Caenorhabditis elegans: one gene and its partners. The protein of the gene in region 3 purifies or fractionates together with the protein of the main gene of each other region. This does not show direct contact. Each region holds a gene or a part of one and is shown on either strand. Other genes may lie near its edges.

Region 1 (4,257 bases), 1.6 Mb from region 3:
AATTAGTGGGCGTGACTAGCCAATCAGCGGATTGTTGGGTTGGCCACGCCTTCTTTTTTTAAATTGATCAATAGCGGTAACGAGAAAATTATTGTTTTTCTATGCACTTTGGACGCACCATTATAGTCCAAATAACATGAAAGTCCAATTAATGTAACGTTAGTCTATCTAGATAGACTATCTTTCAAACATAAATAAGTCCACTCAATAAGCGATCTCAAGAGATATACATTTTTGACTTACATTTTAACGTTTTATATCGCGGCGAGACCAAAAATTGAATGAGTTTTAAATCAATTCGAAATGAAATTTTTATTTTCTTGGCGGCGAAAATGCGAGAAACACGATAGTGTGTTTTACTTAAATAGCAAATTCGTTTAACCTTCACGTTGTTAGCATTTCATTTTTTGACGCTGAAGCTTTGAAACAATCATTTCAGTTTTCAAAACTCGTTAAAGATTGAAGTAAATGGGATTTCAAACACAAGAGTATATGTAAAGACTTATATTAAAAACATTACATCAATAAATTTCATTAAAACTTCAAACCGGAACATGAATTAACGGCGAACAAGTCATTTTTGAGGCAATAAAATACTGTATTGGAATAATTGAGATGAAAAAGAAACAAAAAATTGAATAGTCAAAGAGATTCAGGATATACAGATCAATCTAAAGAGCCATTTCCTCAACACGCGGAGCAGGTGCAACAGCCGGTTGCAGATATTTCTTGAGACGGCCAATCAGTTCTGGATCAGCTTTGAGTACTTCGGCGCTCTTTGTATTCTCCGACAATTCAATGATTCGATGAATAATTTGACGTTTGCGAATTTCGTATTCTGGATTATCTTCTGATTTATCGTCCAATGCCCAGTCAATGAATCTGAGAAAAAACAATTTTAATAAAAAATCTCGCATAAAAATGTCGTTAACATACCCCTGGAAAGTGATGAACTGATGAACAACTGATGGATATGTGAACAACTGTTGCCAGAAATCATAAATACAATTCTTCATCTCAGGGAACGGCTTCTTAACATTTCCAACTGCTACATGTGTCAATGCTTTTCCACCGAGACGCTCGTACCATGTTTCAGCAATTTTTTCAGTCGCTGAAATTATTAATTTTCAAACATTCCACATAACTAAATAAGCTCACTATTCTGGAAAAGGAGAGTGACGGCCTGAAGAGTTCGACACTTCAATTCCATTGTTCCCATCGTACATGCAGCACCAGCAGCTCCCAAAGTATTCTCAAGATCTTTTGAATCTGAAACAATATGATTTTTAATATCTTGCTTTTGAAAAATTTGGAAAATACCTTTGAACATATCCTCCAAAGTTTCTTTTGCCTCGACAGAGAAGCACATACTGGCAAAATGATCGAAAGCTCCAAGACGACTGACCACACTCAATTGATCGAACATTCTGATTTCGAGCATGAGACGCCGTGCAAGATCAGGGAAATATTTAAGAACTTGTGGGTAGGAACGAGCCATATAACACATGAAACGTGTTCCGTCTGTTGATAAAAATATTGTTAAATATTAATTGAATGAACTGGTAACTTACATAAATACATTTCCCCACCATCTGGAGACTCCTTCGACCATTCCATCAACTCATAAATCTAAAGGAATAACATTAAAAAAACAAATTTATTGCAAATTCAAACCTTTTTGACGATTCCCAATTCGTACAAAGCCTCTGCATTCTGTTTTCCACTAAGTGCAATATCAACGAAAGTGTCCAAAGCATCCAGTTGAGCAAGAACATCTTGAGTATCTAGAACACTTTTAAGAATCTTGTCGTAGAGCCAATGAATGCATGAAGTGTTAGATGAAATGCGAGCTCGTTCAGTAGCAATCTGAACAATTTTTCAATGAATTATCAAATTAAGAATTCAAATAATTACGGAGTAAATACGACTTCTAATGGATGAACTTTCTCTTCCATTGGCAACACTCAGCTGCGATTTGAGCTCTTCATTAATCAAGTCGTGATCCACGAGGTGTGCCATCAGACGTCCAACTTCCTCTCCAGCTTCAGCATCTGTAACTCTTCGAGCAAATGCAACTCCAATTGCAACCGATGATGACTTCAAAAGGGAAATCGCTCCTTCCTTCTCACGGACTGTGCGGACTACATGGCGAAGAATATTCGGATGTGCAGATGGAATGAATTCGAGAAGAATTATCTGTAAAAGATTGAGATATTACAATTTTTATTAGAATTTTTTTTTATTAGATTAGAATAGTCTAAAAATTGATGTCAGGTACCTGATGATCGACAAGAAGATCTTTGGTTGAAATATCTCCAATAATCAATTTTACAAGCTTGCTGGTGCTGAAGTCATCAAAATCAGCAGCGGCCACGTCATCTTCTGTTCTGAAATAATTTCATTTTGATACTATCTGATATTCATTTAACGTACTCCATTTGCTGAGCCGCTTCAATTTGCATCTTTGCAAGTTTTTCCAGAATCTCCCATCCCTTTTTCGAACTGCGTTCTGCGATGTAATCGTTTCTCCACTCCTGAAAAAAATTGGCTTAAAATTGGAAGAAATTTCAATAAAACCTACTTCGATCAGTTTTTCATGTTCTTCCAAACTAGCCATCTGGAACGAATACGGTAGGAGGTAAAAATATTAAGCAAGAAATGAAGATAAGCTGGTAGTTAAACCATCATAATTTTAAAAAAGAAAGAAAGACATATGGAAAGAGCATGGAATTTAATTGAAAGTCGGTTTTACCCGTATCAAAAAAGAAGTTAGACAGTGAATTTTCAATAAAGTACAAATGTTAGATAAGTATGTTCAAATAAATAACTTAAATTAAATGTTAAAGCTATTTAACTGGTTTATAATGTAGAAGAAGCTCTCCACTTTGCTTCCAATAGAGATGCTTGACTGTTCGCAAATCCATATCCGGCTCCAACCTCTGATCATTGCAGTACATTTCCATTTTTGTATGAATTTGATTTAGTGGAATCGAGCCAACTGTAATATCTTCAAACACCATTAATATCTTCTTATTTCTAAATACCTTACCATCATTAGTGCTGAGTATTTTTTCGTAAACATGCTCCATCACTTTCTTAACTTGAAGCATTTCAGTTGCTGACAGACGATCTCTGAAAATAGTTCAAAATTTTAATGAATGAACCCCGCGTTTTCACAAACTTTTTAGGCTGTTTGGGATTTGTCGACGGATGTGGAAGAAGATAAAATGGCATTTTATTGAATTTCGGCAGCTGATTTCGTTCGATTGCGTCTATAACCCACATGGGTGCAATTTGTGCCAGCTCATTTGCTTCGAACTCCTTCCCAGCGTCGCCAACAAGAAGACGGTAGAGCGGACGACCATTTCCTTCGCTGAAATTAGTTTTTTTAATGTTTAAAATTTGAGCCTTCAAATAATTTTACCAAATAATAAGCGGTGTGTGTTCCGGTAGAGAAATAAAATTCAGTGTTGCTTTTTGCACATCATCTGCATCAGCTGCATCAACATTTGTCATTTTACAAGGTGGCCATCGTTCGAAGAGTGATCGTAGCATCATTCCACCGTAATTCACTATAATTTCTTACAAAGGAATGAGAAAGTTTTTATTTTCGTATAATATCTTACGTTTTGTCTCTCGATCATTATCATCAAAACCTGCGTCTTTTGATGAAAGCCACGAGGAGAGAGCGTCCAGCTCGTCCAAAGTGATTTGGAGCATCTGAAATCGAATAGGGTTTTATTTTTCAAAAATTTATAAAACTTAAAACTCACTCCACTTTTTGAATCAACGACAAACCAGCTTGGAATGTATACTTGCCTAGAGTTCTCATCGACAACTTCTTCAAATATTCGCTTTCCATAATCTTTTATCTGAAATTTTATCAAAATTCAAGTAGTAACTTTTAATAATGGGGACAAACCTTTCTTGCTGCTAAAACATCATATAGCGCCACATTTCCATCCGAGTCTCGTGTCAAAACGTGTCGTTTGTCGCTCAACATGGCATGTTTCTTGATGGCAGGAGCGCCTGAATAAACAGATTAAAAATTATATCTGCATATAGTCTGTTTACCAGGAATAACGAGCTCTGGTGTGCTCTGTTGTCCTTTTTGATCCTTCACTCGGATATACTTGAATGTTACTGGAGGTGATGATGAAGCTGATACTGAGTGATTTGCATTTGAAGTTGAAGGACCATCTTCGTCTCCTCCAATCGAAAGTTGGGCTGATGGGCGGATGGACCAGCTGAAAACTG
Region 2 (4,340 bases), on a different chromosome or scaffold from region 3:
TTTCATTTCACTGCTTTATTTTAAACAGATATGAGATTATTTTAGCCCTATTGACGAATGAATAGGGCAATTTGAATGCATTAAAAACGAATTATGAACACTTATAGACAGAAAAAGTTAATGAGAAGACAGAATAAAACCATTGGTGTAGATTAATTTTGGAGATCAATAAGAAACTCCATAGCCGCTTGCACATCTCCATTCGCCTGTTCGAGAGCCAACTGAATGAGCTCATCATTTTCAAATCCAAACTCGCGGAGAGTCGCAGCTTGTTGTTCATATCCTTGCTGCATTGGCTCTTCTTGCTGCTGTTGCGCTGGCTGGACATTGGCGGGAGCTGGAACCCGATTTGCCGGAGGAACTGCAATGTTTGCCAGGGCTGCTTGGAGAGCCTGAAAAAATTGGCATGGAGAATTTAGTAGAAATATGTATTCAACTATTATTATATTTCAATTATTCTTTTCGAATTATGAGAATCAGTGTGTCCAAGAAATCTTACATTTTGAAGCAACGCATGAGTAACCGGTTGAGCACCTCCAATTGGTCGCTGAGCTGCAAGCATTCCTGGTCTATTTCTTTCCACGTTTGCATAATCAAGGTTTTCGTATCCGTAACGAGATCCTACTGTCGATAGAATATTTTCTACTACTTTCAAGAAATCGGGATTCGTGTACATGAATTGTCCCCGAATTGGATCATCTTTGAAATCGTTCTGAACGCAATAGGCACGGAATAATGACCAATCACTCAGAACAGATAAAAATTGATTATCATGAACCAGCTGTGGGTGTTTCTCAAGAAGCGTTGTCATGTGATCTGGAAGTGCAAAGTCGTGGTTGAAACCATGAAGCCGACGATCATTTGGGCGTGTATATGGGGCGGTACACTCCTTGAGAGCAATACTGATTCGATTTTTTTGCTCTTCTTCGATGTGGTTCTGAAAATCTTAAAATTAATTTGGGTTTCAAACGGAAAAAAACTGACATTTGTTTTAAGCGGTGGAAGCAGCACGACTCTGATTGAATCAGCATCAGTAATCTTTTTTAGGCTCTCTTCATTCAATGCTCTTCCGTTATAAATCAAACCTGAAAAGTGATTGATTCGATAATTGAAGAAATAAATATGATCGATAATTGAAGAAATAAACTTACGGAAACGTTCAACGTTTTTTTGGTCTTTGAATTCGGAAGTACTTTCTGATAAATGCTTGAAGAATTGGATCTGTCCAGTAGAAATTATCTCTTCGATCGGGACTTCACGGCAGGTGGTTTTTAAATGCAATTTAACCATGTTTCTCAATACAACGGGATGGCGGTTGAAAACTGAATGCGAAACAAATGCTCCGTTTCCTGCGTTCAAACGCTAATAACGAGAGCGCTCGATAATGAAAGGATGAATAAAACCGTGCGGCGGAATTGCGAAAGCATGCGCCGCGTATTGCAAACCCTTGTCATCATCCCCGCCCACTTTTATTCGTCCCATTTTGAATTTTTCCCCCAGTTTTCTTGAATTTTGATACGGTTTTGTCTGTTTATGCACTATGAAATAGATATTTTAACGTAGTTTTCACTGTGCCGCTCACTGTAATGTAAAATAAGGCACTATTACGAATTTAAAATAGATATCAACGCTTATTTTCAAAAACTAACAAACTAGACACTAAAATTAATACCAAATCTATATTTCGATAATTACAGCAAATTTAATGAAAACTAACTAAAATGCTATTTCACGTTTGAAATACCATTGAACAGTTTTATTTCCGTTTTGGCCGCTTTTTAACGTTTGCTACAATTTCAAGTGTTCATATTTCATTTTAAGGAGGATGACAGAGGCTGCCAAAAAGAGCACGAAGAAACCCGTAGATGATGGAAACTTCGATAAGGAGGTACGGATCAGTAGTTTTGAAATCATTCAAGTTCAGAGTTTTCAGATCATTTCAAGATGGCCTGATCTTGAGTTATCACAAACCAGATTCATGCTCAATCATCCCGAAGTAGACAGCAGCGTGAAAGAAGCCAAGCTCGAGAAGCTTCAGGAAACTATCAAAGAATTCGACATGGCGCCATTCTACGAGCTTGTCTGCGCTGACTTCAAAATTGTCGTAGATGCAACACAATTGGCTGCAATGAAAGCAGCTAATCAGAAAAAGATCGATGAAATCACCGCAGAAGTTGAAGACGCGGAGAAGAACCTTGGCGAATCTGAAGTGCGTCAGGGATTACTCCGCAAGTTCGAGTACTACTGTCAGATCGGTGACAAAGACAACGCTCTGAAAGCGTACACAGCCACCTATGAGAAGACAGTCGGTATGGGATATCGTATTGATGTAGTTTTCGCCATGATTCGTGTTGGACTTTTCTTCCTCGATCATCATCTCATCAACAAGTTTATCACCAAAGCAAAAGAACTTATGGAGCAAGGAGGAGACTGGGAACGCAAAAATCGCCTTCGATCCTACGAAGCGCTTTACCGAATGTCTGTTCGTGATTTTGCTGGAGCCGCTGATTTGTTCCTTGAAGCTGTGCCAACATTCGGATCATACGAGCTCATGACATATGAAAACTTGATTCTCTACACTGTCATCACCACAACCTTTGCTTTGGACAGACCAGACCTTCGTACCAAGGTTATTCGTTGCAATGAAGTTCAAGAACAGCTGACCGGAGGGGGACTCAATGGAACATTGATTCCAGTTCGTGAGTATCTCGAATCATACTATGATTGTCACTACGATCGTTTCTTCATTCAGTTGGCCGCTCTTGAAAGCGAGAGAGTAAGTTACTAAAACAAATCTTGTATTTTTCACTTATCGTTATATTTCAGTTCAAGTTTGATCGCTATCTATCGCCACACTTCAACTATTACTCTCGTGGAATGCGCCATCGCGCTTACGAACAATTTTTGACTCCTTACAAGACTGTACGTATCGATATGATGGCCAAGGATTTTGGTGTTTCCCGTGCTTTCATCGACCGCGAATTGCACCGTCTGATTGCGACTGGGCAATTGCAATGTCGTATTGATGCTGTTAACGGAGTGATTGAAGTGAATCATCGTGACTCGAAGAATCATCTGTACAAGGCAGTTATCAAGGATGGAGATATATTGCTCAACCGCATTCAGAAGCTTGCCAGAGTTATCAATGCATAACCGAGCCCAGTTCTTCAAACGTGTAAATCCTTTTATTTTACCCTATTCTTCTTCTCCCGTATTATTTCTTTGCGTTAACTCGCTTTGAATCTCCCCACTTCTTCATCATTTCCGGTTGAATGAATTAATTTATTACCATCGCTGTATTTTTAAAACTGTATTCACACTTTCTTGGTCAAATACCAATTGTTTTATTATCTTTAAAATGTTTTTACATGTTATTTAATACCACTTCTTCACTTCTTCACTTCTTCATTTCTTTATTTCTTTATCCACATCGCTGCGATGTAGATCCGCTGTTTATTTTTCAATCGTTCATAAGTTGATGTTCCAGGAGCACAGTACGTTGCTCGCAGCGAGTTTTTGAAGAATTTAACGAAGAAAGGAGCCTAAAATATTTATATACAAATTTTTTAACTTTTGGCCTAGTTTACTTTCTCTAGTAGCCTATCATATTTTCTCGCTGAATATTTTAAGCCCTCAACTACTTCATCAGTGCAAAACTCGAAATGTTTCTTTACAAAACCGGCTGCTGTGGCTGTCTCCTGAATCTGTTTTGCCTGTAATCACTAGCTGTATTTATATAAATTTTACAAGTAGACTAACCTCATGGGGATATCGAATGTCCATGTAGCAGAAGGCACCACCCGATCGCAAAACTCGTGAGCCCTCTTTGAAAAATAGTTTGTAGTCCGAGTAAAGATGAGCTGCTTCCACATTCAAAACTTAATTTCAAGATGTTTTTGGTATTTTTTGATATGATCCTACCAAAATCAAACGAATTATCTGCAAACGGTAAATCTAGTGCATCTCCGTAGACTATGTTATTCATATTTCTAGTGACAACTTTATCACAGCCAATGATGCATTTTGTTGGTCCATGCCACCTGTGTTCCATATTTCTCGTTTTAAAAAAAATGCAAGACACTTACTTTTCTATCCAATCGAGAGAGTACCCTTGACCACAGCTCACTTCAAGAATTTCAAATTGTTCAAAATAAGGATAATTTGGATGCATTGATAATGCTTTTTCATAGAGATAAATATGAGCTCGATCCGACTCTGAACATTTAAATTAACAAGGAAACCTCGATTAGTGTTTTCATTTTACCGTATTCATCTAGGTCACCTAGATCTTCCATGAACATTCTCATTTTTGCGTACTGAGGTGCTGATGATGGCCAGTA
Region 3 (5,664 bases):
AACGTATGGAGTATAAAATACCAACGACATCTAGAAGGAAATTTGGAAAAGATAGGGATCGTTTGCCAGAGAAGTCGTCTTCTGATAGAGGAAGAGATGTTGGTTTTTATTATTTATATTGTTTTAGCTTAAAATTTCCCGATTACATGTTTTCAAAATCAAAATTTACAGAAACACCTCGACACTCCCACCAAAAAACGTGTAAACCAGTCTCCTCCATCGCGGAAAGCAGCTCCATCGCCTGCTAAAAAGCCAGCCATATCCACGTCAACACCAGCGGTCGTTGTTCCTCCGAAGCCAAAGCGAGATCCCGAAGAGGAGTTATCAGACGGCGAGATTCTATCAACTGACGAGGAGGATAATTAAATTAATTTTTTACTTCACGTTTTCGTTATTAAAATTTTCAGAATTTATTCATTCATTTTTGTTGCTGTTTCATTTGAATAACACAGCAAGATTTTGAGGCCAGAAAGGATCTCTTGTTTAACAAAAATAAATTTTTTGTCATTATCGCTTGACTTCAATTCATGTAAGTGAAATGTTCTTCATTTTCAGGTATACACACAAATACAAAAATCAGCGGGTTCATGTTGATTCGAAGTCAAACATAAATAGAGTAGAAGGGGGAAAATAAATTAAAAAAGTTTTGAATGGGATTGGGGGAGCGAGATAGAGTTGATCGAATGATCCAGCAATTGATCAAAAATCGTTGATATTGATCTCGAACGTCGAATGGGGTTTGTTTTCGGTATTTCCAGAGCTCGCAGGAGTATTGACCTGAGTGACGACTTCACTGACAAGCTTCTCCTCTCTCTCCTTATCAACACGATCCGCCACAATAATTCCACCCTTGTAAAGTGGCTTCATGGGACTGTAGGCTCGAGCGTCACTGATCGAGATTAGCTGTCGTTGAGCAGGAATCACACGAGCTGGATTCTGTAGGCGGTGCAATGGCTTCGTGTCCTTTTCTGGAGCCTTTTCTTTCCTGAAATAATTGTAAGTTAATTTGGAAATCTTGGTTTTTTAATTTTTATGACAAAAAAAACGAATTCTACTTTTCCTAGACACTCATTCCAAACTTACTTGGATTTTCCTGGTTGATCAACCTCCATTTTCTCATCTTCAGCAGCTGGTGCTGTTCCTGAAGTGGACGATGATGATGGGGCAGCAGCAGCACTAGAAGCGGAAGCTGCAGCTTCTCGTCTTTTTTTCTCCTCAGCGATCAGCTTCTTTGACGCATTCTTCTTTCCGGTGATGGACAGAACAACAGTCTCAATCTTTTTGACATCCTTATCCTTCTTTGATTCGGCTCGTGGTGGATAGGCAAACTTCTGACTATTGGCATGGCAGATGTAGTCAAGTACTGGAATCTTCAGATTCTCGTTCATCATCACAAGGCATGATGGCTTAGCAGCAAGGGCGATGAAGAAATGCATCGAGTGCCAGAACCATCCGTGAAGGAAGCACATCATTCCGACCATTGATCCCATATCTGGCTGCTTGTCAGAATTTTGCATTGTGACCGCAGCGTTCTGCCCTCCGATGTCGAGAAGTCCTTGAGCAATAATTGCTCCAAATTTGACAAGAGAGTCCTCGTTCTTCTCTCCGATCTGACAAACATTTATTGAAAAACTTGATTGTTTTCTTATAGAGTTACCTTTTTGAGCAATTGCTTACGGAAACCGTTCACCTTGGGACAAGTGTAGTCTGTCTGCTGGCACATGATGAGAGCAAGTGAAAGAAGTGCTCCTTTACGAACGAAACCTTCCTTATCAGAAATCATTGGCTCAATCAGAGCAATAGCTTCCTGAAAAACAATTCATTATATCAAACCCCGGTTTCAGAAAAAAGTATCTTACCATGTTTCCTGTTCCAGCACAAGCAATTCCCAGTGCCATAGCTGCTCCGTATCTGACATGTCCATTGAAATGTTCGGTGAGCATGGCCACGTAGGATAAGCAGGTTGATGGATCCTTGGAGAGAACGAATCCGATACCAATTGTAGCGTATCTCTTGACATCCAAATTTGGATCGGTGGCTACTTTCTCGAGAAGACGGCGTACTACATCTGGAGATCCGGTTCCGGCGTAAGCCATCGACAGCATACAGATTCCAGTGGAACGGAGCATTGGATTGCTCTTAGCTCCGATTGCTTCTTTGATGTAAGGCTCAGCATCTCCTTGGAGTCCGAATGCGGCACAGGCAAGTCCAGTTCGGATACCACGTTGAGTTTTGTCATGCTGTGTGTCAACAGTGTATTGCTTGAGCTCATTGAACACCTCTTGATTCAGATGTCCAGCCATGATAAGGCCCATGGCGATTCCTGCGGATTCTCCGGAAACTGCTTCATCACGTTGGAGAACTTCCCGAACTTTCTCGTAATTCGAAACAGAAGACGATCCAAGTCCAGCAACTCCAAATCCAAGACAAGCTCCGTGTCTCACTGGCTCGTTTTCGGCGGTTTTGAGCCACTGAGCCAGAGTGCTCATGGCAGTTGCATCTCCGTGTTTGGCGTGAATCAATCCATATGCCAGCATTGCTCCTCCCTCTTTAAATCCAAATCCTTCGACAGATTCCTTTGGCAAATATGGCTCAAGTACCTTCATTGCAGACGATTCTTGTCCGTGATGAATGAGTCCAAGTGAAGCGACCGCATTGAACTTGTTCCAGTTCGTAGCTTTGGAAACCCAGTTCAAGTTGTTACGGAGGAAATCGTCACAAGTAGTTCCATATTGCATAAGACCATTTGAGATGAGAAGAGCATTGTGGGCAGAGGCTGTTCGAATGTTCTCCTTGATCTCTTCCATTAGAACAGAATCAGTGTGATTATGACGGACAAAGAAGTCGAGGTAAGCCTTGACAGTTTCATGACCTTTGAGAATTGAATGAATCTTTTCCATCGACTTCTCATCACGAGCATCCTGCTGTTGGAAACGTTTCAAAACTCGATCGAGGAATCCTTGACTCGCTGTTTCATATAAATCAAATGCGATCTGATATGCACGAGTGCTGAGAGACTTCGCGATCAAACTCGTAATCGTGTCAGCAGCGGCCTCGGCGTTATCCGTGAGCACGTAACACTGAAAATGTTTATTTTGTAATTTTACTTCGATATTTGTATAAATCATACCTCGCAAATCTTGGACATGTCCGGCGATGGGCACTTCAAGTACGTCTTGATGACTGTATCGATAACTTGGAATCGGAATGAACGATCGAACGCGCCATTGACAACACGGTTGAGCGTTTCGACAAGTGTAGCTGCACAAAAAAGAATGACGTTTCAGCTTAGTTATTATTGACTTACTCTGATTCTTGATGGTCAAATCTGCAGGCATCGCGCTAATGGCCCTGTCGATCATAGCCAGATTGGTCGTCTCAAATCCTAACGAGATGACAAACCATATCTCTCGTTTATCCAGATTTCTAGCAACAATTCGGTCGATCAAATCTCGGAGTTTCTGAGGAATTCCAGATCCTTGCTTGCTCAGCGTCTTGTACGTGTCAATGGCCGTCTCGATGATCTTGTTAACATATTCTGCGTCGTTTCCAAGACCGGTTCTTGTAGCAGGAACGACGTTGAAATCACCACGAAGAGCAAACTCCAAAGCACGTTCATACTGCTCCAAGCAGAAATAAACTTTGGAGACGAGCAGTGCAGCGGATGAATGCTCTGGGAACGTGTTGTTGTCAAGGAGCTGCTCTACAGCTGGAAGGGCGTCAGCGACCTCAAACCATGTGTTCACAAGAACATCCCAATCGTTAAATGCTTTGAGAACGAGCACTTTGTCGGTCACTGCTGATTTCGGTGACTCGAGAACACGAATGAATGCGGCTGAAAATGAACAATTCACAACGTTTCTTGATAGATATTAGTTTTGATACCTGCGTTTGAAGCGCCTCCTGGCTGAGATCTCCATCTGTTCAACAATGTCAACATCTGAAAGAAATCAAAATTAAAAACAATCCGAAATGAGAGCAGCTAGGAGAAGATAGTTGCGAAGCATAGTTTATTATAAAATGTTTTTCTAGGTTATCAGAAAAACAGCTTTCTCGTCTTAAAAGACAAATTAGAAAACGTCTAAAAATAAATCAGGCGTTTTAGAAAATCATAAAATTACTCAAACACCAACAATGGATGAACCGAACGAAAAGAATGATTGCGAATGACAAATTTCGTCCAAAAACACATACATTTTCAGATAAAAGCTGACAATTTCGCGGTTTCCCGCTGTGGTCAGAATTGTCATCCTCCGCGATGTGCGTCAACTAATCGATAATTGCGCCAGCACATGGGTGTTGGCGCATTTTCTTCAAAGTTGTTTTCTTATTTTTAGACAATATTTTTCCCAGCAATTCCGATAAAAATAGCATATTTTAATTTTTAAAATCAGATAAAAGTGTATTGGTGTCTAGTTTGACCGCTCTAATGCTTAATTTTTCACTGATCGTCTCAAAGCTATGCGGTGGTTACTGTATTAAAGGCTCATTGCACATAGTTATGACATTGGTTTCAGTCTGACTTAGTTTTTGTAGTTTTCAGAGGAACATTTCCGAATTTTCTAGAACTTTCTATATCTTCGAAAAGCTTACCTTTCTGCGTGTTGGATATTTTCGGCCGAACTAATCAATAAAAGTTTATTGAATAATTTTCTTTTTCCTTTGAAAAACTAGTTTACCAATATATTCAATTAAAATTTTACGTTTTTAGGCGTTTTATGTTTCCTGGTTCAACATGGACAGTTATTGTAGAACAAATCGCCGAATACGAAGAGGTTATTGATCCAAAAGCGTTTTTTGATAAGGTAGTTATTGTAATTTGGAATATTGTAATTGAAAGAAAAATTCAGATTATCAGTCTTTGGAAGGAATATCCAAACGCTATCAGTAACAGAATTACAACTTCAGTTTCAGTGGATACAGATTCAGATTTATGGAATGAAGTTTTAAGAACATTTGAAACACATTACAAATTTTGCCCGAGAGATTGCAGCGAAATAGCTATTACGAAAATCATACACAAGGATCTCGCTAATAATAAATTCTCAGATAATGCGTTTGAAGTTTCTTACTATGAAGGTTTGTTTCGAAGTTAGTCTTCTTTTGAAATGATGTTTTTGTTTTCAGAAGAACTCCTTGTACGATTCTACCCAATTACTCTCGATGGAATGCAACACCCACATTTCGAGAGCCCGTATTCAATTGCCATTAAAATCCCAACAGATACATCCATTCAACTTCAGTTTTTGAAGCAAGCTAATTCCTCTCAAGAACATTTTGAATTTATGAAGAAACAAGCATTCAAACAATTGTACACTTGGTTGAAAGGAATTGATCTTTCAAAGTGAGAACGCTATGATTTAACAAAGTCTAAACGTTTATTGCAGATCATCTCGAAAGACAAATTCTCTACTCGACAAAGAGTCCTACATCAAGACATATCGTCATATTCGAGAGGATTATGGCAGAGGAATGATCAAAGGATGGACAGAAAACTCTAATCCACAAAAATCAATTTTCGAGGATTGTGGGATTGCTTCATATATAAATGTAAAATTTATCTATTTCAATAAAATTCCCATCTTTCAAAATATTTTTAGGAGCTTGTCAATTCTGATCTCCTACCAAAGCCGAATAAATTCGTGGATATTGGATGCGGAAATG
Region 4 (4,955 bases), 4.3 Mb from region 3:
TACTTGTATCCCCGTGAAGCTTCTTCACAACTCTTGGCACCACAGTCATCCAGTGATCGTCACCTTCAACAATTCGAAGTTGCGCCGGATGATCCATCACAATGCTCTCAAACACTGCGTAGAGATAACGCGAGGCCTGAAAGACTTTTAATAAAATTTCTTCTTTTTTTAGGCAATTTTACTCACATTTTGATGAACCAAATTATTATAACTTGGATCAACACGGGCTGCTCCATCCGTCTCACTGCTGCTATTCCTCCGATAATCCTTCTGAAGACTGCTCCAAAGTGAGCCAATAATCACTGAAGTTGGTGGAGCCGGCTTTTGAAGAGATTTCTCCAATTGACGAAGAGCTTCGGTTCGAATTGCATCTCTATCATCACCCGAAGCCTGAATCAACTGCCACCGTAGATCCATATCTTGCTCTCCAATCAGAGCTTCTGCGTATTTCAACGCGGCGAGTCGACAATTCGGGAAATCCGAGCGAATGTGTTCACTGATCACCTCACGGAGTTTTGCTCTCAGCTCCTCTTCTGTAGATTCGAGGAACAGTGGGAGCCAGGTCGTCAGACATGATACAATTGCTCCGGCGATGTCTTCCTGGTACTCCTGAAAATTAAAATACTCAAAATGGCCCAAATAGACCGAATTTCATAACGAGACTTTTCAATAATTTCTCAAATATTGGAAATTGATTTTTGTTAGAACCATGTTCTATTTTGCATATTTTCTCATTTATCTCACGTAATTTCGAAATATTTAAAGCAACTAGGCAACACAATTTTGATACCTATAGGCTTAAACGCCTCGAAATCAACGAAGGACGTGAGATAAATGAGAAAAATATGTGAGATATAACAATAATGCGAATAAAAATCAATTTTCCATGGCTACGACACGGAAAAGTTGTCAAAATTCGAGATTTTAGGATTTAAATTTAAAAAAAAGAGTGAAATTTTCCAGCTTTCTCTTCTAAATTTGACAGAAATCAGCGATTTACTAACAGTGGAAAGATCCTCAAACATCTTGGCAACGACATCACTATCGTTGAGCACAAGTATCGGATGACGACTCCCGAAGATTGCCAGGCAGCGGTAGACTCCACAAATTGTCAATGTGTTCATATTATTGCTGCGAATCAAGTCCCGAAGCCGTTTGAACAATCCCGGAGCCAATGTCTGTAGAGCTTGTGGTCGCATTTTCTCGGCGACGAGCACGTAGAAATTCATCGTGAGCGCCTGAACTCGAGAACTTTTGCTCGCGGAGCCATTCATACAGATCTGAAAAAAAAAACGATTATATGGGAATTTCAGCAATAATAAAAACCTTCAAGTTATTCATGTAGACAGTTGGTGCCAGTCGAGATTTCGACAGAAACGGTAGAACGGCCGCCTGGACAAATTGATTTCCCGCAGAGATCTGGAATTTTTTGGATTTATTTCCTGCTTTTTTGCCTTTCTTTCGGGTAAACCTTTGCTTTGGGATCTTTCGGCGGCGTAGTATCGGCATTTGAGCCAAGAAAGGCGTGCATGAGCTTGTCGATGACTGGTCGGCTCTCAATAAGTCCTTCGGTTGGAATCTTCTTGATCAGACTTTCTGCGAGATCATCTACCCTGAAAAGTGGTAATAAAACTAACTTTAAAGGCGCATGTATTTCAGTTTTTCATGACAGGTCTCGTCACGATCCATACAATTACGCGGTAATATGTGGATCGTGGTGAGCCTGACATTCTTAAAGGCGCATGCTCTTTCCTTAGCGGGTCTTGTCACGATCCTCGTAAATTTGATCGGATACTGTACCCAATAGCTAAGATCGTGGCGGGATCAGTGAGGGTAAATGTGCGTGTGCCTTTAAATTTATGCCGATTTACGTGATGAATCCTTACTCGTTCAATTTCGAAGCGGAAGCCACGACCATCAGCGGAAAAGCAATGTCATCGGTGAGCAACTCCTTTCCCAACACCTTCAGAATCATCACCTTCGTCTCCGTCAAATTCAGCCCCAGCGGGAAGACTTTCCGCCCAATTTGAACAAATTCGTTGATGCTCAGCGCTGGGAGCTCAGGAGCCGACGATGCTGTGGGAAGCTTCTCGACGAGCACTTTGATGTCCTCACTGAAATAAAATATTAGAGTTAAAGCAGGCAAAGTTCGTGAAGATTTCGGCATGAAATATTGTAAAATTAACAAAATGCTAGGCATGTTTCAGATTAAAACCAGGAAATTCGCTTCTGAAAACTGAAATTACGTACATGCTTCGTGCAGAGAACACGAGAATCGCCTGAAAGCATCTGGCAATGATTTCCACGTCGACAGAGCTCATCTCGATCGTCGGCCAGTGTTTTTTCTCGATTCTCGCGAGCTCGTGGAGTCCCGGCAGGCACAACGAGAGAATGCTGGAAAAAATTATATAGAAAATATAAATAGTTCTACTTTACTTACTCGTAAATGTAATTGAGATCATTGGGCTTCTTGCTGAACGATGTCAAGTATACAGGCAGAAACTCTAGCTGCTCGGCGGCCTGGATCCGGTCTTTTGCCATTTTGAGATAGATCAGACTGAAATTCTGGAAAAAATATTAATTTTTTGGGTTATACATCGTCTGGAGAACGCTACAAACCGATGAAATGGCACTCGGGCCTTGGAAAAGTTCGAGCAGACGTGGCACTGGGAGACGGATCGCCAAATTGCTCTTGACGACTTTGTTGAAGTGTGTGAGAAATTCGGTGACCTGGAATCACGAATTTTAGTCATTTTGAATCAAATTTCAGCGAATTTTTGCGTCTTACCAGCTGAATGTGCTCCTGCTTTCTCCCGGCAAACTCCAACACATCGCACAAGTGCCGATCTGTGATAGTTTGTAGCTTGGCGTCCGAGTTGGCGTTGACGAGCCGCAGGAAGACTCTTTCCACTGAAAATTTCAAGTTCATTATGTAAATTAGAAGCTAGACTAGCTTACCATCATTTGCTGAGTCGAGAGACGTCAGCGAAGCTGATTCTCTGGGAGCATCGACTTCCATTGGGCTTTCCATGCTGAAAATACTAAATATTTAGCGTTTTACGAAGAAATTAACGTCGAAAAATGAAGAAATTACACTGAAATTGCTAAAAATTGTTCAAAACAATACGAGAAACTCGGTTTTTCCGCAAAAAGTAAAATGTTCTTGAATTTATTCCAAAATGTCATCAAAAATATTTTTATTTTCAGTCTGCGTCTCTCTTCATCGTGTCAATGGGGCGAACTTGACAAGAGACGTCACAGAACCTTTCTCTACAGAAATTTGAGTCTTGAAAAAAAGACCGAAAAACAGGGGAAATTTTTAAATATTTTTGATGAGCGATAAATTTTAAATTGAGAATTAGTTTTGTTTATTTCAAATTGTATTATCGACAAAGTGTATTGGAAGATAGCGCAGGGAAAGAATTTCTCCGAGTGGGAGTTTCCCCAAAATCTGTGGTGTCAAACAGATAAATATTTCCCAATCGCGAAATTTTGCACGAGAAATGTGGTACCCGGCAAGATAATTTTTTGTCAAATGAAAAAAGTGTGTGCTCCTATGAAGAAATGTCCTATCTTTCTTTTAAGAACAAAATCTGAATTTTGTCAGACCTAATTCAATAAATTGCGGATAAACTTTTTGATTTGGGGAAAATGCTTTTATTCATTGCCCAAAAACTCAACTGTTGAGGCGAAATGTTCATGTTTTACCACTTTCCTTGGAAAAAATCCACTAATTCCCACTATATCGACTTTCCTGAAAACCCCACTGTGTAAAATGCGCGCGGCACACTTGCGAAACCCTGTGCGGCGCACTTGCATAGGGCGGAGTCTCAGGCAATCCCGACGGAAATCGGCGCGTCATTTACCGCATGTGCGTGTCCTCCGCTGTCTGCGTGCTCTCTCGTCTCTCTCTCGAACGTTTTTCAAATTTTTCCGCGAATTTTGTGGATAATTTTCTTCTTGTGGCTCGTTTTGCACGTGGTGAAACCTTGAAAAACGGGATTGTGTTGGAAATTTCAAAAATTTGCCCAAAACTGTTACTCATATTAAACTTCCATTATCGTTGCGAAATTGCTGTTTTTAAAATTCAAATTTTTTCCATTTTCAGGTACATTTCTCCTGTACCCAAACTCTTTGACTGCTCCACAGACAATCTTCTATTTATTTATATTTTATTTGCATCCAAAGTGCGAATGAAAGAAATGGTAAGCGCTGGCAACTTGAAAATTTCTTTAAAAATACAATTTTTCCAGTCAACACCAACGGGTCTTCCTGCGCTAAATGGCGATGTGTTGAGCGCCATCAATGATATGATCGGACGTGTAATTATCATTAATACTACGGACAAAAAGCGATATTCTGGGGTGCTGGGCGCCGTGTCTCAGGATTTCGATTTCGGGATGCAGTGCGTCGTGGAAATTACGAAGGAGAACGAGAATAACTTGCTGAGAACAGAGTCGGAATGCAGAGACAAGATGGTATTTCACTATAGTGATATTGTCGATTTTGCGTACGTTACGCAAGAGATCAAGAAGCAGCATGCTGGTAAGAGCTGTTTCAGGGAACTTTTTCATTAAAAAAAATGCATGACATCTTTAATTTTGGGCCAAGTCGGGTTCACAGTTACGATTTTTAATCCGAAAAAGCTGAAAAACTCTCCATTTTCAGTCAGCAAATTCGTCACCGATAGACAATACCACGGAGATACTCCAATCGAGGGCGAAGAGCTTCAGGAATGGAACGGAGGTGAGGAGGACGGACTCGGAGGATCCATTGAGGACGACGTCGTCGTTGCTGGTGGACAAACCGCCGCTCGTCGCAGCAACAATCACAACAACGGCACCGGATGGTCGGTCAACGACATGTTCGCCGCCAACGAGAAGATGAACGTGGTGTCGACGTTCAAAGAGGATTTAACGCAATACACAACGTAATTTATTTGAATTTTTTCGCTT

The links.
Region 1: the proteins of rpn-2 (region 3) and F35G12.12 fractionate together in Caenorhabditis elegans (co-fractionation; one large-scale study listed by BioGRID). This does not show direct contact.
Region 2: the proteins of rpn-2 (region 3) and rpn-7 fractionate together in Caenorhabditis elegans (co-fractionation; one large-scale study listed by BioGRID). This does not show direct contact.
Region 4: the proteins of rpn-2 (region 3) and ecps-1 fractionate together in Caenorhabditis elegans (co-fractionation; one large-scale study listed by BioGRID). This does not show direct contact.

The regions. Positions count from the first base shown.
Region 1 is NC_003281.10:4,580,155-4,584,411, reverse strand, and holds F35G12.12 (26S proteasome non-ATPase regulatory subunit 5), read right to left. Parts: upstream 2,618-4,257; coding exon 2,582-2,617; intron 2,535-2,581; coding exon 2,434-2,534; intron 2,388-2,433; coding exon 2,279-2,387; intron 2,197-2,278; coding exon 1,915-2,196; intron 1,867-1,914; coding exon 1,675-1,866; intron 1,630-1,674; coding exon 1,572-1,629; intron 1,522-1,571; coding exon 1,321-1,521; intron 1,270-1,320; coding exon 1,159-1,269; intron 1,112-1,158; coding exon 937-1,111; intron 883-936; coding exon 672-882; 3' UTR 519-671; downstream 1-518. Other genes in the region: wdr-48 (WD repeat-containing protein 48 homolog), read right to left, coding at 2,847-3,132, 3,182-3,373, 3,425-3,572, 3,627-3,720, 3,774-3,872, 3,923-4,029, 4,075-4,247.
Region 2 is NC_003282.8:9,314,818-9,319,157, forward strand, and holds rpn-7 (26S proteasome non-ATPase regulatory subunit 6), read left to right. Parts: upstream 1-1,821; 5' UTR 1,822-1,825; coding exon 1,826-1,888; intron 1,889-1,933; coding exon 1,934-2,776; intron 2,777-2,826; coding exon 2,827-3,153; 3' UTR 3,154-3,413; coding exon of another isoform or gene 3,414-3,542; 3' UTR 3,543-3,587; coding exon of another isoform or gene 3,588-3,713; 3' UTR 3,714-3,759; downstream 3,760-4,340. Other genes in the region: F49C12.9 (UBA domain-containing protein), read right to left, coding at 153-392, 500-937, 985-1,085, 1,152-1,290; nemt-1 (Methyltransferase type 11 domain-containing protein), read right to left, coding at 3,414-3,542, 3,588-3,713, 3,760-3,878, 3,922-4,040, 4,086-4,215, 4,265-4,340. UniProt on the Caenorhabditis elegans protein: Acts as a regulatory subunit of the 26S proteasome which is involved in the ATP-dependent degradation of ubiquitinated proteins.
Region 3 is NC_003281.10:6,197,462-6,203,125, reverse strand, and holds rpn-2 (26S proteasome non-ATPase regulatory subunit 1), read right to left. Parts: upstream 3,947-5,664; 5' UTR 3,941-3,946; coding exon 3,886-3,940; intron 3,836-3,885; coding exon 3,308-3,835; intron 3,262-3,307; coding exon 3,131-3,261; intron 3,081-3,130; coding exon 1,860-3,080; intron 1,808-1,859; coding exon 1,658-1,807; intron 1,611-1,657; coding exon 1,084-1,610; coding exon of another isoform or gene 1,080-1,083; exon of another isoform or gene 986-1,079; coding exon 700-985; 3' UTR 532-699; downstream 1-531. Other genes in the region: sna-3 (NADAR domain-containing protein), read left to right, coding at 1-98, 172-366; C23G10.7 (putative tRNA (uracil-O(2)-)-methyltransferase), read left to right, coding at 4,719-4,805, 4,851-5,079, 5,128-5,344, 5,388-5,550, 5,601-5,664. UniProt on the Caenorhabditis elegans protein: Acts as a regulatory subunit of the 26 proteasome which is involved in the ATP-dependent degradation of ubiquitinated proteins.
Region 4 is NC_003281.10:10,457,520-10,462,474, forward strand, and holds the start of ecps-1 (Proteasome component Ecm29 N-terminal domain-containing protein), read right to left. Parts: upstream 3,033-4,955; 5' UTR 3,032-3,032; coding exon 2,959-3,031; intron 2,911-2,958; coding exon 2,789-2,910; intron 2,731-2,788; coding exon 2,620-2,730; intron 2,566-2,619; coding exon 2,441-2,565; intron 2,395-2,440; coding exon 2,251-2,394; intron 2,115-2,250; coding exon 1,887-2,114; intron 1,614-1,886; coding exon 1,472-1,613; intron 1,420-1,471; coding exon 1,327-1,419; intron 1,281-1,326; coding exon 1,005-1,280; intron 610-1,004; coding exon 187-609; intron 137-186; coding exon 1-136. Other genes in the region: atx-2 (Sm domain-containing protein), read left to right, coding at 3,870-4,205, 4,254-4,545, 4,669-4,930.